Linked DNA regions of Arabidopsis thaliana. The protein of the gene in region 2 interacts with the protein of the main gene of each other region in a pairwise test. Each region holds a gene or a part of one and is shown on either strand. Other genes may lie near its edges. The genes, in order: GSL05 and RABA4C.

Region 1 (8,036 bases), on a different chromosome or scaffold from region 2:
CCAACTGATTCCTTCGCCACATACCAATAGGATTTGAACTACCATTTACTTCTTAAGACCTACACAAATTTAAAGCCCGCATTGGTGTGAAATCCAGGATTTAAACGATCATAACATAAGGTGTTGAGAACAAGGAGCTTTACCGTTTTTTAAACTTAGACATCGCCTTTTGATTTCTTCCCAGTGACAATCTGCATGATGCGAAGTCCTCTGCTAAAAGCTTCATTGAATAATATCCTCGTTTGCATTGACTGGAATCCAGGCATCCATGACAAGAACGCTACTGGAACCATTATGAGTATCCCAAACAATATGTCATACATGCGAGCAACAGAGACAACAGCATTCCAGAAAATAGTGTAATTCTTCAGCCACTTCCTTTGAGTCTGTGCGATCAGCAGAATTCCCCAGCCAGTTGGGATGAATGCAAGAAGGCTTGTGAAGATATCGATGAAGCTGAAATGCGTGAACTCGAGCAAAGCAACAATCACCAGTATAGCAAGCACGATCAGGAGGAATTGGACAAGCCTGTACCGTATGTGAGCTTTTGCCGAGTACTTGTCACGGGCGTATTGGATGACTAGGAAGAGCACAAATATAGCAAAGATGTATATCCATGAGAACAAGTAGACAAAAAGGCTGGTGGATCCGTTTGCAATTTTAAGCTGGTATACAATCCCATACTGGAAGAAGAAAAACCGGAGGACCAAGATGATCTCCACAAATAATCCTGCCTTCCCGGTGTTTCTCAGGTGGTCCTGTTCCTCGTACCACCATTTTTCCCAGCTTTGTTCAGATTTCGTTGAGATTCTGCCTTGGTACCAGATCCAGTTCATGAAGTCTTCAAAGTCATAGACTGTCTTAAGCCAGTCGAATCCTGATGGGTTAAACACAAATGGGGCCATTATCCATGAAATCACAAGAAACCAGCTGGTGATAGTCATGGCTATGTAAATCAACGAGTCTTTGGCAATCGGACTGTGCGAAGCGTAGACTATGAGGATCAGCCCAAGCTCGATGGCCTTCACAAAGTGACTGCGTGCATACAGTCGGTAGTTCTCAGTGAATCCCTTGTGCTCGACAACAAATCCACGTCCAGTGGCTCTATACTTGGCCCCACCATGGAGAATAGTTCGACCGAAATAGTGAGCTCTGGTCCCCATTGAGAATGTGTAGAAGACAGCTGAAAGCTGAATCTGCATTCGAATGAAATTCCATATCGCTAGAAGGAAACCCTCCTCGAGAGACCATTCAACAATCATTGGCAGGGCAGTGAACAGACCGAGCTGAATGATGAACTGCTGGTTCAGGATCACCCCAAGCGCGGCGTTGGTGTCCGTACTGTCTGCTAGAGCGGACTTCTCAACCCCGCTGAGAGCCAGATAAACCCGTCCCCAGAGGAAAGCGTAAACAGTAAGAATGACCATCATTGTGTTGAAGAAAAACCCTACAGTTGTGTAGAAAAATGATAACATTCTGAAGAAATCAAGCCTGTGCCCGAGCCGGTACACATCTCGGCTGAGAACCTGCTCTCCGTTCCCACTGGCTACCTTAGCCTCAAACATTGATATCTGATTCAATCCAACATCCCGTCCCTTCCCGACCTGAAAAATGCATAAAGACAAAGGTTACTCAAATTTTTTGAATTTAGAAGATTAAAAAACGTTAAATTACATAATTATAACAAAAGTAGATTGCATAATTAATAAACGTTAAAAACGTTAAAAAAACGTTGTAGCAGTATAGTTAGTTAGAAATAATCCAAATTGTGGACCCTTCCCAACCTGAATGTACTCGTGGTGGGTGACGTTTCCCCCCCTTAACGTGCAGTTAAACCCGGCAAAGATGTCCTCACTGATATTTATAACTCTGGAAGCCTTACTGATGCCGCCTCGACTCAAGAACCAGAATCTGTCAAATACATCAGGGTGGCCATAATGCATTCTGACCTTCAGTGGGTTTGCAAGAACACGCTGACCAAGAGTGACAAAACTTGTCTCCTGAGCAGACATGAACCACGCCAGTGACGAGACTGATCCCGTGAAGATATGCTCCCTGACACCAAGAATAGTTGGTTTTCTGATACCATGATAATGGTTGTACTCCTGGAGCAAATTTCTCATCTTGAGAGCTTCCTCAAAATAACTGTCTTGGTTCATATCAATGGTCTGAACAGCATCACCACGGGTAAAGATCATTGCATGATTCTGGTTCTCTGGCTTTCCCTCGCCCAGCTTCACTGGACCAGGTAGCTTCACACGGAATATTTCCACTTCCTTCTCCAACTGGTGATCGTATTTCACCAGAACGGAGTAATAATCAGTCTCTCCTCTTCCCGCAGGCACCTCATCCACATATGCAATACGGAGAGCTTCGTTCTGCTTCATCAGATACAGAATTTCCTCTGCCTGAGGCTCTTTCTTTGCTTTTTGAGACCCGTAGATCTGACACGCCACAACATATGTGAATTTCATCAATGCAGTCCCATACTCATGGCCTTTATACAGCGTACTCACGGAACTACTTGCTCTGCTTAAGGAAGATCGGTCGTTTTCAGAGACAAACCCATCAGATTGACCACCCAGTTCTCCCTGCAAATTCCTCACTGAACCAAGCTCCTGAGCACCCTCCCGAATGTCCATTTCAGACGCAGAGTCAAGAAAAGCGAGCATCTTAAGAGCCCGGTAGTAGTACATCATCCCACGAACTGTACGTGCCAATGTCTGACCTCTGTAGGAAGCCCAAAGCCTGAGGTCTCTCAGCTTGGTTGTCCACAACTCACTATCTGTCTTGATTCCTTCCCTATGCATCCGTTCCTTGAAATTTTTCCATTCATCAGCATAAATTGTCTGCAGGTAGTATAGGGTGGAAATCCCATCCTCAGTCTCATTTCGGAGCTGTTCTTTGCTGTATACAACTTCCTCACTGTAATATGGAGTCAGAACACTGAACGCCATCATTTTCTCAACCTGAGGGGCATGAGGCATGTTCATGAAAAGCGAATTACTGAAGAAAGCAATCCGCCGTCTCGCCTCTAGATTCACAGGGACGCTGTGCATAGAGTCCCTAGAGGTGAGAATCGTGTGTAAACGCCTAACCTGCCGGTAGAAGTCTTCATTGCTTGCATCAGGAAGCCTAATAGCATTTTGAAACAGCAACTTTGAGGCTGGGTCTCGAGGAGTTAAACCTTCATTAGATAGCTGTTCAGTTGTCTTCTTCTCTATAAAGAACTGTCGAGTTGCAATCTCATAAAGAGACTGCAGAACATTCACCACCCGCCCACTATCTGTTTCCTCATCATTTACCAGCCCAACCAATTTCTGCAGTGTTTCATAAATTTTTGGCAGCAGGTCCACTCTAAAGGTCTTGGTGAACTGCTCTGACTGAATGGACTGATTAATTATCTGAAAGAAGACCGTAATTATCGAATGTTCTTCAGTGTCAACTTTGATGATTGAGAGCAATAGATGTTTGATGCTGTCATATGCCTCAACTACAGCACAACGCCTGTATTCATTCTTGCATATTTTGTGCCACAGCCATTTATCAGGTGCGTCTATCAGCTCTCTGGCCTGGCTCAGTGCAAGCAAAAGCTCATTGCACAACAAGAAACACGGCCAGCGAATAACCGTCACATCCCAGGAATTCTTTGGCAGCTCCAGTAGCTCTACTTCACGATCAGAAACTATATCCTCTTCTCTGAAAGCTAAGATGATTTCGTTCCAGATCAACGCAAACTTGTTGGCCTCGACCTGATTCGACTCAAGTTTCTTAAACGGCCTCCCAAATCCATACCTTAGCTTCAATCTGCATACAGTACACAACCTCAAGTTATTACAATATTGAAAAATTTAATTATATGCAGCATCTGCGTTAACAAAAGTAAAATTTCACAGCTTGTACAGTCAAGTCAAGCGTTGTACAGAAAATTATTTAGGAATATTAGTAGCATGCTTCCACGGACTACCTATGAATGCCGTCCTTGAACTTGTTACCAAAGCCTCTAGCATTCAGGAGTTGTTCCTCAGGCATTAGGTTGAATTGAATAGCACTAGCAAAGAATTGAAACCTTAGCCTCAGCTGTCCCATGTCCCTGATCTCCCCCAGATGATCAAACAGCCCAACAACAGCACCAACAATCGAAGAATAGATTGCGTACCAAATTTGGATATCCATCAGATATATCAACACAACTGGCAACCATAACAATGCGACAGAAAACCTATTGCTGTCTCCATAAAACTGATGCCACTCATAATCGACATCCTTTAAGTTCCATAGCAGCTTTGAGGGTTTAATCATTGGCTTAACCTGCAGGAAGTAACTAAATGTAAACTTTGTAGCTAGGACAAAGATCCAGAAAGTCGAGTACTTGATGTTGTCCACTAAACCCTCTCTCAAACCTCGACCCACAAAGCTTTTGCCTTGAAACCACCAAGTTAGAGCAAAGAATATTTTCCAATTGGTCTCTTCCAGGAAGTTTCTCATCCATGGGATAATAAACAAAGCCAAAGCCAGGATTTCGGGCACCAAGAAGGCCCCCACAGCGTAAAGGAATTGGTATATCTTAGTCGTCGCGGCATTGGACCACTGCCTGTCTTGCCTCTTCTGCTTCCAGATGTTAGTGTAGAGGACAGTGAAAGCTACAATCCAAACTGCGGCAGCTATAACCTTCATCAGCATTCTGAAAAAATGCCTTTTGGTCTCTCTGGAAACGAGGGGATATTGTGAAGCCGCGTCCAGCACAGCCTGCAAGAGTCGCATACCACTCCATGTCAAGAACACGGTCAATAGTCTCACCTGAACATCTCTTGCCTTCAGAGCATTCCACAGCTGCCTTGTTACCGACGAGGTATCTGGCTTTTCCTCCCAAGCTACTATAATGGCGGCTTGAAGGAACAAAGCTAGCATCACCCAAAGTCGATCAAAACTCCTGTAAAGGTAGAAGAACGTCCTGCGCTCCACGAAACCAGTTTTCCCTACACTTTTGCCTCTACTCTTAAAGAAATTGCTTCCCAAATCAAGCGGCCATTTCAATTTGCTGAAACACCGATCAGTCCAGAAGTACTCATTGATATCGTCGTAGTTCCTCCACTTACAATGCGCAACTGTACCGTTCTTGCTCTCATCAATCTCAGCTTGGATAGTATCGTAAATAGGTTTAACGACGCCGGTTAAGAAAGCGTTTTCGCCTGAGAGAGAAGGCAAGTAAGGTTGGCCGGTGTTCTCATCGAGGCAATCCTCTAAGATTTTGTTGAGCTCAGAGGCCATGTTATGGAAGATGTAACAGATACATTCAGGCATGAACCGAAGATTCGCAGCCTCTCCCCAAATGAGAAGATAGAGTCCAACATAGAGAAGCTCTCGTCTCGAATCAGGGTTCCGATCTGAGATCCAGATATTTGATTTTTTCCCCAAATACGAACACCAGCTAGAGTAGTTAGCGAGAAGTTTCCGACGAAACCGACGAACAACCGCGGAATCGAGAGAATCAATATTATCCGGCGGCGGAGAGAGACGCATCTGAGCATTTGCGAGATGAAGCACCATATGCTCACGCTGGTTACGAACGTTATCTTTCTGGAAACCGAAGAACAAGGCGAGCCAGTCGAGGAGATCGTAGTGAGAACGCCATTGAACATACGGCGGACGACGAAGGTCTCCAACGGTTTTAAGAGCAGCAGCGGCGGCACGAACCTCGGGAAAACGGAGTGAAGGATGGTCGGCGAGGAGATTGTTAACGGGAATGATATTGTACGGCTCCTCTTCGATTCCGACAGCTTCCGCCGCCAACGGCCGTCCGGTTTGCGGCGGGACGGTGCGGTGGCGGAGGCTCATAGTAGCATGTGGTAGATCTTAGAAATTTCTCGAAGAAAAAAGCTTCACTGAAGAAACAATAACAATGGAGAAATCGAAACGGAAGCGAGTTTTTTCGTTTGTAGCTCTGAAGACGGCGACAACGACGACGAGAAGATTTTGCCTCCTTTCCGCGTTTCAGTTTCTTCTACCTTTTTTTTTTGTTACTTTTTTTGCTGTCTTTGATTTGTATTTTTTTCCAACAATATAATTTGAATTTCCTTTTCTTAAAGATCTTTTAACCTTAAAATGAATATACTAATGATCAAGTAAACTTTTGCAATGTTATATATTGATTGATATGTTAATAGTGTTATTGAATTGTATTTTAAAATTTTCTAGATATTTATCCAAATTGGTGAAATTTTGAATGATAGACAGATTTTTTTTTTTTTGTGAATTACTAGATAAATTTTGATTATTGGATAATACATTTGAAGTTTATTAATGCAATGAAATTGCTTTGTATCTTCCACCTTTCTGGTTTACTTACTATATAAGTTAAGAAAAGAAAAAAGTCAGCATAAACAAAGAAAGACATTTATGGCAATCTGGAATTAATTCATAATTTTGGATCCGAATATTATAAAAGAATGCATTATAAATAAAATAAAAAGAGAATGCATTATGCATGCATTGATATGAAAATCCTTAACAAAAGTAACAAAATACATGCATTTATTTGTAAATTATAACTCTTTGTTTTAGGCTTGTTTTGGTCCTATGTATCTTTTTCTATAGATTTTGATGATGATTAAAAGTTCGTAATTTTATTAACAGTATCACCATTTGAAGATCTCGAGTATTGCAATTATATTACAAAATTGTAGGTTATGTAAATGTTAGTGATTGATCAAGATATGTAAGAAGAAACGATAATCATCAACACGGAAAGAAAAAAAAAGCCCGTATCTAAACAATTCGTGGCAATGATCGTAAACAAAGACCGTGACATGTAAGTTCCAATTACAAAATTAAACTTGTCATTTTCGTTATTGACTTACTGACCTAGGATTTCAAAACTAACATTGAGGATGATGATACAAAAAAACTAAAATAATTCAGTATAATAAAATTTGGACCAAGCAATATTTGTTAATAGTTATAACAAAGTGGGTTGAAAGAAGAAAAGAACAAGTGGAGCGTTTTTATTTCATAAACAGAGAAAAGTCGCTGAACGGCAACTGCGACCGCTTTGGACGCTAAAACAAGAACCCTAAAATAAATCTCATATTTGCTTTTCAATTATTAGATTCACATGGGACCCTTTCTTCATACTCTCGCCCCATTTCCCTCTCTTTTTCTAGTAACTTTTTCTCCATTTTCTAATGATTTCTTTAGAAGGATAGAATGTCCCATAAGCAAATTCTCAGCTCAAATATTTCATTAAAATAGTTCATACCTTTTGAGAATATTTCAGTCTGGATCCTGACTGGTCAAACGACCAATCAGTATTAAAAAAAATCAAGTGAATCTAGTCATCTTCTCTTCAACACAAATGTTTTTTAAATTTGATTAATTATACAGTATGATGAAATGCTCTTCTGGGACTAATTTATTACAGTATACATATGTTTAAATAATAGGCATGTGGGATTATAATCTAAATTCTAAATGTGGAATCTTCCTTTTGTTCTGACACAACAAATGGTCGCATGTGCTTCACCAAGCATTAGAAAAATACACACGATTAGAGCAACGTTAACGTTAATTTGCTGATGGTCGGTTTTGTTACTACAAATGTCCATTTAAGACAGGCCGGTTTGCGATACTAAAATAATTTGGATCACGCAAAACACTATGTCCCACATTAATATTACCTTCATTCGCCTCTTTACGTGTTATGGTCATGAACTTTTAGAAAACGTTCTTTTCAGTGGAAATTATACAAGCACAACACACGAACTACGTCTCAAATCGACATCGAGCAAATTTATGTTTATGTGTCTACTATCTATATATGTATGAGAGACATAAAATTAGATCGATACTCAAAAAAAAAAAGGTAGATTCAAGATTTTTGAAGGAGAAAAGGGTCGACGACGGCGTGGAGAGAATATAAGAGTAAGAGTACATAGAGGACGAGTGCAACGAAACCGGCAATTAAAGCTCCAGTGATCTGATCGCAAAACTTTGGAACTTGCCCGCAAATCGGAAGCCAACCTGCGTTTGCGTTTCCC
Region 2 (3,831 bases):
ACATTAAATCAAACAATAGCATAAATTTATTAAATTATCCTAAAAAATATTCAATTATTTTTTATTTAATAAAAATATAGACCCGCAGTATACCGCGGGTTAATATCTAGTAGATAAACTATTTATTTTTCACTATCATTATTAAACTTTTTGTCATAAGTTTGGTAAACCGTAAAGGCGTAAACTAGGTTTTATTTTAACTAGGTGAACATACGTGCTACATGGGAATTGTTGTTTTATATATATATATATATATTCAAAATCATAATCTTTTTTACTATCATAAATACATACACAACATAGTATATATTGACAATGATATGTAGTTATGTTTACTTACATGTGGTTTGTAACTTGAGTATTTGACTAACTTGAATCTAAACAAACAATTCCTTATTCAACTTACTCTCTCATGATCTAATACTCCAGCCACGCACATCATGATAGACTCATGATTAAATACTAAATTGACATAATTTAAACAAAATATTTGTAATAACTAATTATTTGTTTCAAGTTTTTTGACAATCTGACATTCTTTGACTTCAATTGTCATAAATGGAAATAAGTTGTCTGTGTATCATGAATAAACACAAACTCAATTTAGTATGCAGTGTTCAACTCATCAACTCTATCATCTGTTCTTACATACAAAGTAGACACATTATTTATGCAGTCAAAGAGAAAGAGAAATATGATCACAAGAAATGGTAGTAACAAAAAAAAAAAGAGAAAAGATCATGAAAAAAAGTCTATGATGTTCCACAACAACCTTTTCCTTTAGATTCAGTCTCTTCTCCAGCAACAACAATCTTAGTTCCTTGCAAAAGAGAAGAGTCTCCTCCAGATTCTCCTTCCTCATTAGCAACAAGATTCTTTTTACTCACAATTCGATATATTTCCGTCAAAACCGTGAGGAACGAAGGCTCAACATTGTTTGAATCCAAGGCTGATGTCTCCATGAAAAACAGATTTTCTCTTTGAGCAAATTCTTTAGCATCCTCGGTTGGTACAGCTCGAAGTGTCCCGAGATCAGTTTTGTTTCCTATTAGCATAATCACAATGTTTTTGTCAGCATGTCCTCTCAATTCTTCTAACCATCTCGCTACATGATCAAACGACTGTCGTTTTGTTATATCGTAAACTAACATTGCCCCTACTGCTCCTCTGTAGTATGCACTCGTCACCGCTCGATACCTAAACAAAATCTCCACAATCAGAAATATTGATCTCATGGTACGAAGAGTTCTTACTATGAACCTATTCGTTTGACAATCGTTGGCGACTACGACATGTTATTATGTTCACTGAATAAATAAGCCACTACAAATTTTGGTCTATATACGACAAAGTTTTGGTCAAAGTCCTTAGCGACTGCCAAGCGAAATTCGAAGCAACCAAAATTTTCAACTTCTAAGAACTAAAACAAGGATCTACGATGGTAAATTATAGATAGGAAAATTTACCGTTCTTGACCAGCAGTGTCCCATATCTGAGCTTTGATAGTTTTACGATCGATTTCAAGTGTTCTTGTCTGAAACTCGACACCGATCGTTGCTTTAGATTCGATACTGAACTCGTTTCTTGAAAACCTAGCGAGAAGCTGAGATTTACCAACAGCAGAGTCGCCGATCAAGACTACCTTGAACACATAATCTATCTTCTGATTGAAATTGCTCTGAAATTTTGACATCGTTCACACCAAAATCACAAGCTTATAGATTTTAGAGGCGATAGAAATGACTTAGTTGTAATATAAGATCTCTGATGTAATAAGAAGAGGAGAGATCTAAAAGATGAAAGTGGGTTGCGACTTGTGAAGCATCGGGAGACGTGAAGGGAAGAAACGAGGAGGGAACACCAACGAAAGTGGGTCCCGCCTTTTGTTTCCTTTTTCTTTTCATTCCTTTTTGACGTCATTCTTTTTTTTTTTTTTGCAAATCTCAGCGACCACAAAAAAACACACTTAAAATCCAATTTCACCCTCTCTCGTCTACCTCCGGTCGTCTCGCCGTTCTCCTCCTCCTCCACTATAGCTGCCTGTATTCGTCTTCTCTATCACCGTAAGTTATCTTTCGATGCTTTCTAAGCTATTCCTCTTCTTCTTTAGATATTCTTCAACATCGTCGCTTAGACCCAGCCGGTACAACATTGTGCTAAAATTATGCTTAATTCGGTTCAGTGATTTCTCTCCTGTGACAGGATTTTTCCTAATCCGTTTTACTTATTCTTTGGTCTTATTAAATAAAATTCGAAAACTTTGATTAGGTCTGGAATTGATGTTTTTTAAGTTTGACATTTAACTTGTTTGAACAATGTTTTGTATCTTCTGCAGTCAAGTTCCGCTTTATGATTAGTTTGAGTTAAGATAAACCTGTTGAAATGTTATCTTGTTTTGATACAAAAGGTCTTTGATTTGAATCAATCCATAAGAACGAGCTTGAGACTCAGTTATGTGGCATGTTAAAGTTCATATATGATTGAGACTGAGTGATGGATTATATGCAATTGTTTTTCTACTGTTTCATACCATTATGGTACCAAAAGTACTTAAATTCAATTGTGTCGTGAAGCTAATGTTTACTACATTCTTTGTGTAGCTCGTTATCTGGATCTGAAATATTAGGTGATACGAAGCCATGACAGTTTCAGAAGCTTATAGTCCACCTCTGTTCAGGTATTTGCTTAAGGGTTCTGCTTTTCTATTTTTTGATAATTATGCTCATTGACAGCGAATGATCTTAAGCTCCCTGTCGTTTTTTAAAATTCGTATTCAGTATAGCCCCGATGATGGGATGGACAGACAATCATTACAGAACTCTAGCGCGTCTTATAACAAAACACGCATGGCTCTACACTGAAATGTTAGCTGCTGAAACCATTGTCTATCAAGAAGATAACCTGGTACTTAAATGGATAAGGGTTTCATTTTCTTCTTTTTTTGCTTAACCCTGCAGATACATTTTGAATTTATGACGAATGGATGCATGTGTTTACTCTTGTAATGCTCAGGACAGCTTTTTGGCATTCTCTCCAGACCAACATCCCATCGTTCTTCAAATTGGTGGAAGAAACTTGGAAAATTTGGCTAAAGCAACCAGACTTGCTAATGCTTACGCCTATGATGAAATTAATTTTAAGTAGGTTTCCTTTCCGTTGAGTTATCATAACAAAATTGGTACCATTTCCATCCCAGTAAGCTTTCGTATATTGACACGCCGGTTTGTTTTGTAGCTGTGGATGTCCTAGCCCAAAAGTAAGTGGACGAGGTTGTTTTGGTGCTCTTCTTATGCTTGACCCGAAGTTTGTTGGTGAGGCTATGTCTGTCATTGCAGCCAATACCAATGCAGCTGTCACTGTCAAATGTCGAATAGGTGTTGATGATCATGATTCATATAATGAGCTTTGTAAGTTTGTCCTTCCACCTATCTTTCGAGTTATATCACATGCCTCGTGTTTTTATTAAACAACGGCAAGTAACACCTTTTGCGGAGTTCATTATTACATACCTTTTCCATTCTTTTTTTTTTCTTTTCAGGTGATTTCATTCATATAGTTTCTTCATTATCTCCTACTAAGCATTTCATCATACATTCGCGGAAGGCATTACTGTCTGGACTTAGCCCGTCAGATAACCGTCGAATTCCGCCCTTAAAGTGTGTGCAGAAAGGCTTCCATTACTCTTATGGTCTTCTACTTGGAAGATATATTGCTTTAATACTGCTTGTTTCCATACATGTCTCACGTTTTCATCTGCACTTCTGCTTCTCAAATGCAGATACGAGTTTTTCTTTGCCCTTTTGCGTGATTTCCCGGACTTAAAGTTCACAA

Evidence for each region.
Region 1: the proteins of RABA4C (region 2) and GSL05 interact in a two-hybrid assay, tested with the Arabidopsis thaliana proteins (one study listed by BioGRID).

The regions. Positions count from the first base shown.
Region 1 is NC_003075.7:1,571,315-1,579,350, reverse strand, and holds the start of GSL05 (glucan synthase-like 5), read right to left. Parts: upstream 6,086-8,036; 5' UTR 5,839-6,085; coding exon 3,968-5,838; intron 3,808-3,967; coding exon 1,785-3,807; intron 1,605-1,784; coding exon 156-1,604; 3' UTR 144-155; intron 60-143; 3' UTR 1-59. Other genes in the region: AT4G03540 (Uncharacterized protein family (UPF0497)), read right to left, coding at 7,868-8,036. UniProt on the Arabidopsis thaliana protein: Involved in sporophytic and gametophytic development. Required for normal leaf development.
Region 2 is NC_003076.8:19,420,781-19,424,611, forward strand, and holds RABA4C (RAB GTPase homolog A4C), read right to left. Parts: upstream 1,754-3,831; 5' UTR 1,694-1,753; coding exon 1,467-1,693; exon of another isoform or gene 1,423-1,466; intron 1,198-1,422; coding exon 753-1,197; 3' UTR 560-752; downstream 1-559. Other genes in the region: AT5G47970 (Aldolase-type TIM barrel family protein), read left to right, coding at 2,640-2,677, 2,778-2,904, 3,013-3,140, 3,235-3,407, 3,539-3,656, 3,779-3,831. UniProt on the Arabidopsis thaliana protein: Intracellular vesicle trafficking and protein transport.